Linked DNA regions of Nothobranchius furzeri. The protein of the gene in region 1 interacts with the protein of each later gene in a pairwise test. Links are inferred from orthologs where the notes say so. Each region holds a gene or a part of one and is shown in the gene's direction. Other genes may lie near its edges.

Region 1 (2,860 bases):
TAACAGGCTTGAGTCTGATCATGTTGTAATTTGATCATAGAGACAGTTCATGCAACATCTCAACAACTCACCTTGAAAATGCTTTAATCTGACAAACATGTAACAAGCAGTAAATGAACAGATTCTCATTGCTGCCTCACCCTTTTGTTTGTGCAACAGGACAGCAGTGAAATCCACTTTAAGGTGAAAATGACCACACATCTAAAGAAACTCAAAGAGTCGTACAGCCAGAGACAGGTACGATCAGCTGTAGCTCCTATTGCTGCTCGATTCTTTACTCTAAACCAAACAAAGAGAAACTCGACGAACCCAAACGTCTTCATGTGTCCTCTGGTGCTTCTCTCACAGGGCGTCCCAGCGAGCACACTAAGGTTTCTGTTTGAGGGACAGAGAATCGCAGACAACCAGACTCCAAAAGAGGTAAACATGGCCGCCGTGGCCTTATTATTCTGTCATGTTGATGCTGAAACTGTTCTTAGTGTGTTCATTCTCACCGATCTGTTTTGTTTACGCTCTGAACCTTTCACTGACTCGTTTATCTGGGCTGCTGTCGTGTATTTTATAGTCACGGTTTGTCTCCGGAGTCCTAACAAGATGATTAGATCAGCAGCTTTTCACTATATCACAGATGTGGGACTGTAGGAGTTACTAACGTTTCTGGTTTGCTGATTTCTCTGCTGTGTGTCGCTGGCAGCTTGGGATGGAAGATGAAGACGTCATCGAGGTGTATCAAGAACAGACCGGGGGATTTTGGAACGATTAAACCTCTCAGTTTATTATTATTTTGATTTTTTTTGTTTTGTTTTTTGTATGTATGTATTGTTGTTTGTTTTCAAACCATCTGGATCATAATGGACTCACTGGGCTTCCAGGTGTGAGACAGGGAGGTGCACAGACAGCAGGTCCCTGGTTCTGCAGATGGAGGACGTTCTCGTTGTCAGCCCGAGCTTTAGCATTCTGCGTCATATCGGATTCCCACAAATCATGCCTCTGTGTTGCTGCTTTTGTTTTTTTTAATCACTTGTCAAAGGGTTCAGAAATAAACGTCATAAAAGCAAATGTTAAAAACACGTACTGATTTTTAAGTGGCTGTATGAGTTATAAAAACCAACAACGTTGTTGTCCTGAAGCCCGGATATTTCACACCGTTTAAGACTTTCAGCTCTGCTCCTGTTTGGGAAATGTCCTCAACGAGAAATAAATGGACAATATCCAGATTTAGTTCAAACGAAGCAGGAGACGGAATTTCTAGTGTTGCTTGACTTTAGCTCTTTAAACTAAGATGTGAGTGGTTTTATTTTTTTTTTATATATAGAAGTAACTTTTAAAGTGTTTGAAACGGTCCAGGCAGTGAAACACGTGTCTGCTTCTAAAAGATTTTATAATTTCTTTGCAACTTCAGGGCTTCAGAGGTTGCCATGACAACAGCTCTTTTACTGAATGGTCAGAAACCAGAATGTGTCTTTTATATTTAACTACCAATGTAAAATGATGTTTTCATTTAAATAAAAAAACCTTTTGATTCTAAATTTGGATTTTCTAAAAACACTTTTTCTGTGATCCAAAAGGATCCCAGGAAGCTTTTCAGTAAATCTTAAAATGAGTTTCATTTTCTACTTTTACTGGGGTGGTTCAACAGCCCTGTCTCTGCTCAGGCTGGGATTACTGGGCCGTAATCTGGGCTTCTGTGGATTAAATCAGTTTTCTACATCTCATCCAAACTAAAACTTCTCTGCTGATATTTTATGACTTTTTTATTTTAGTCGTGCTTGTCTTGTATATTTTGTGTTCAGCATTAATGTGTTTGAATGGAATAAAGTATATATAGATGAAAACTTTCTGCTGATTCTGTCCAGCAGTTCAAATGTTTTTAAGCAATGATTTTGGTGCTTCTTTGGAAGCGTACATGTCTTGTGATGAAATCTGAACCCGATAAAAACAACCCGAACTGCTTCGTAAAGCTGGATAAGGATGTGATCCGATGTTTGACAGCATGAACTGACCTGAGATCAGCCGTCTCTACTGCCACACGAGGGTTTTCTCCACCATCTGTAACAATGTGGAGTTACATCTGCTTAAATTATAGACATACACTTTAATAAATGAGTTGTTTCCTTCCAGAGATGCATGCAATAAAAAAGTTCAGAACCTTTGGTTTAAACTTGTCGGTGTTTGAATAATGAGCAGCTCAGGTGAACTCGTCTCCACCTGAACCGGGAGGGCTGTGATTGGGTGGAGGAACCTTGATGCAGATGGTTTGAAATGATGGGAGATGTGATTTTTTTATTTGAATAAAATATTTAACGGAAAATGCTCGTGTGTGTGTTTTATTGTGTGCTTGTTCTTAAAAATATTTCTACTCCTGCTGAATTGGAAAGAAAAACATACAAAATGCATGAACCTGTGATCTTAGTTTTGTACAAAAGTCATTCAAAATAAAGATGAGTCATGTGGGGTCTCAGAATAAATCAGAAGTATTCAGCCATGTCAAACGCTGGGTTGTCTTTGCCACTGGGGATCACAGCCTTGTGGTCGTTTGGTCCTGATGCTGAGGAAGTGCTCTGATGCAGCTGCTCCAGCACAGAGTGAAGCATCATGGGTATTGTTCTCTCTGGCAGTTTGTACGAACAGAACACAATCCCAGACACAATCATGAGGACAGAGCCCACAATCCCCACGCCGATGCCTCCTCCCACCTGCTGGGACTCTGGTGCCCGAGGAAACTCGAACTCGGGTGGAAACGCGATGGTCTGGTTTGTCACAACTGAGCTCAGATTCCAGAGGAGAGGAACAAGGGCTAGCACAGCTGCCAGCAGGCACAGCACCCCGGTGCTGATGAAGCACAATCGGATCGAGTTCT
Region 2 (3,757 bases), on another chromosome or scaffold:
ATATATATATATATATATATATATATATATAAATATAAAACATTTATTTATTTATTTATTTATTTATAAAACTAGCTTTCTCCTCTCTAGGTAGTGCGCAGGGAAACTTCACTGTCGGTCACCTAATTTTGGGCGGACAAACCCGGAAGTAGTTTGCCTTCTCCGGTCTGGAAACAGATGAGAAGCTGGGAATACTTAATTTCATTGATAAAGGTAAGTTTGTGCCTAACGACTCATAAATTGAGGCACACTGAGAAGTCGCTTTAATTGATACTATGTCAAAGGCGTGTTTTCTTTTATTTCGTGTTTGAGATTGAAGTACGTCATTGTTTACATCCGACCGGCTACTTGTAGACACGTGCACGTGCACACGCAGCAGTTCACTTGCTAACAGCATTAGCCGACCTGTGAACGAAAATCTACAACCGTCACCTCTCAGTGATGGAGTATCTGCTTCCAGTGTGCTTGTGTGAATTTGACGAAATATTTTACAGGAGTAATAGTTTTGTTGATGAACGAGCATGCTAGTTCGTTAGCCAGTCGGTGTTTACCGTCAGAGATGGTATTAGCTAAATCAAATGCGGTTTGGTGTGACGCATTTTCGCCTTCGCTGTGTTTCTCTGTTATCTTAGAGATCGTCTTGAGCAATCTGTACATGTACACTTTGTGACTGCAAGTGAAGCGGTTAAACATTTCATCTTAATTCAGCGACACACTGTCCTTGAAACCACCAATAATGTCTTCCGGTTGTTTCTTTATGTCCTTATTTTAAATGTTACCAGTCTTAGCAGCAATAGAATGAATGTTTAGCACTTTTTAGTGACTTCCAGAATTTTGTCTGAGTTGAGCTAGTTGGAGTGTTTTGTCTTTAATGCTAGAGAATTGGCCACCCTAGTGTCGTGTTTACATCACAGCTGGAGTTACTGACTTTATTGGACCCAGGAATTAATTGAAAATGTTGTTCCCTCTGATGGTAAAAGGACAGGTTTGGACAGGCTGTGTTGTTGAAGAGCAGCAGTACAGTTAACATGGTTGATTATTTATTCCTATGACTATTTTCATTTTAATTTGTGAGGAAACTGTTTTAGTCTTGTAAAAAGAGAGTTGTCTTTTTCTATAATAATACAGCACTTACAGTGGCTCTGAGCTGAGTGGAGCTTTAATTAGATAGATTAAATAAAACCAGTCACCATTGTCGATGGATTGTGACTGTTCTGCTGCTTAAGAACATGTTAAATCCCACCTCAGCAAAGAACCATCGGTCATTTGTCACCTCCTTGTTCCTGTGTGCTTCCATACTTATATAACTGTTGCCCCTCACCAGGCTTTAAGACTCTACTTTCTGTCCCTCTAATCCCTAGTGGTCGGCTTGTGACCATGTAGCGTGGCGTTTATGCAGCGTGCACGGCCAGGGGGCCAATCATCTCCAGCCATCATGGCACAGACACGCAGGACTGGACAGAGCAATGGGCCGGTGCTCCTTCCATGTCCTCGTGTGTGTGTGTGTGTGTGTGTGTGTGTGTGTGTGTGTGTGTGTGAGGCAGAGAAAGACGGATTTAGAAAATTAACAACGCAGTGTTTTATAGAGTGCAGTGAGTAGATTTACCAGTTTCTAACATAGTTGTTCTAGGCTGAGTTTTGTCTTTAGATGTTGTTGAAACCATCACCTGCCAGGCGATAAGCCTCGGTTCACTATTGTTTCCTATCAGCACGGTCCTGATGGAAAAAACTGCAGGTTCAAGTCGTACTGCACATGAGTCATGCTCTCTCAACTTTGCTAACAAGGTCTTATGGTTTTGAGAACAAAAAGTAAGTGTCTAGTAATTGATCTTGGCCTGAATTCATCTCTGATCTATTGTTCTGTCGAGATGAAGAACTCTAGAGCAAAAGTGAAATGCATCATGAAAGCTGGAGATACGTCTTACTCTTATTATTATTATTATTATTATTATTATTATTGTCTGAAACGTACATGATCATGAGAAACGTCACCAGCAACCCGTTAAACTTTTACTTCAACAAATACCAAGCCTCTGATTTTAAATAGGGGCAAATTCAACTTTGTTCACCATCTGATTGCAAAAAGCTGGAATATTTAATTATTTAGTGCCTTTCTGAAGCATTTAGGTGACCAGTATTTAAAATGAGATGTGCAGTGGAAATAAAATGCACTTTGGAAGATAGAAATTCAGTTAATGCCTTTCAATTTTGAGAAAAAGTTCACTCATTTGTAGCACAAAACTATTTGAATTAAAATATCACCGTGTAGTTGACTTTAGAAAAAGATTTAAAGCAAACACTTCGCTGGTCTACAAATAGACAGCAACACAACATGTTCTAGAATGTTTTTATTAGGCCTCAAACTATGATGAAGCCTTCAACATTTGGGTTTCATGACATAATTGCAAACAATTAGCAACTTTTCTACACGTTTCTTTGGTACAAGTTTCTCACAATGCATCTTTTTTACACTCAGTATTTTCACAATTGTTTTGCCACCTCTCCTCAAGTTGTCTAACATTTATCACACTGGAATCAGGTTCGACAATTTTGAAATGAACTTTTGACACGATTTGTTTGAATATGTTAAAAATTACCCCAACTTAAAAGAGACCTGTGACTCGTAAGATACATTAGAGTCTTCTAAAATGTTTTCTGACATTTTGGGATCTCATCCATCAGTACTTGTTGCTGTTTGTCACTAATAGTTACAGCTCAGTAGATTAATTTAAAAGGCAGCTAAAACTTTTAAACCTGCTCATGTTTAATGTATGTTTTTTTTTGTTTTTGTTTTATATATTTATCCTCTGGTTTATCATTAGCAGCAGTGTCACATATATAAAATGGTACTTATTTACATTCTAGTTATAATAGTTTTAACACAGAGAGGGAAAAAATATGAAGCAACTACTTTGTAAAATGCTTAAAATGACAAAACTAAAGAAACTAATGTTTTTTTTATTGATACAGTCAGCCTCTGGATGCCACCGACTCCTCTGCTGTGAGCAGAGCGAATGTGTGGTCTTTGGGGGAAATGTATAGCTCCATCCAAGACTTCAAGATGTTAGAAGATGATCTCTACCGAGAGGATGGAGGAGACTCTGAAGTGTCGGAGATCAACAGTGAACTGGAGTTCCACCTCTACAGCCAGCTTCACTACTCCTCCAATGCTCTGGAGCTGGAGGATGATGAAGAGAAGATTTTGGAGGACCAGCAACTGCTCGAGAAGACCAAAGACGGTGACGGAAAACCGGAATATCCCAAAGACAGCAAGCCTCCATCACCTGATGATCACAGTTACCAGAAACACCTGAAGAAAAAAAAAGTTGTGAAACAGAAGAAGAGACAAACTGTCTCCAAAGGTCCGAAGCTGTCATCATCTGCCTTTGAAGAGGTTATTGTGATTGACTCCAGCCCAGTCGTCATCTCCATCTCTGAGAGTGATTCTTCAAATGATGATGGCATCTGTGCCATGAAGACCTCAACTCCAGGTCGACAGGTAGAAGCACAATGTGCCTTAAGCTATGTCCATATAGTTTAGATGATGCAAACAGATTTGTCATTTTTATTCAGGTGAATATCTGAAAGACTTACTTTGACTTTTAATTTGTGAGATTTTCTTTTCCATCTTAAAGGTGTGGAAAACTGAAAACATTTTTTATGATTATTTCTGGATATAATTGATCACTCTGAGTTTTTCATGCAGGTTGAACAGGAAAACAATCTTCTACATCTATCTCCTACATTAGCTTTTGAT

The links. The genes of interacting proteins can lie anywhere in the genome.
Region 2: the proteins of sumo1 (region 1) and zcchc7 interact in binary tests that used the Homo sapiens proteins (3 or more experiments, as listed by UniProt). The link is inferred for Nothobranchius furzeri from reciprocal best matches to the Homo sapiens genes SUMO1 and ZCCHC7.

Annotation. Positions count from the first base shown.
Region 1 is NC_091743.1:83,218,319-83,221,178, forward strand, and holds the end of sumo1 (small ubiquitin-related modifier 1), read left to right. Parts: intron 1-159; coding exon 160-237; intron 238-348; coding exon 349-420; intron 421-694; coding exon 695-763; 3' UTR 764-2,311; downstream 2,312-2,860. Other genes in the region: claudin-34, read right to left, coding at 2,469-2,860. UniProt on the Homo sapiens protein: Ubiquitin-like protein that can be covalently attached to proteins as a monomer or a lysine-linked polymer.
Region 2 is NC_091747.1:79,092,354-79,096,110, reverse strand, and holds the start of zcchc7 (zinc finger CCHC domain-containing protein 7), read left to right. Parts: upstream 1-1,550; 5' UTR 1,551-1,753; coding exon 1,754-1,809; intron 1,810-2,970; coding exon 2,971-3,499; intron 3,500-3,757.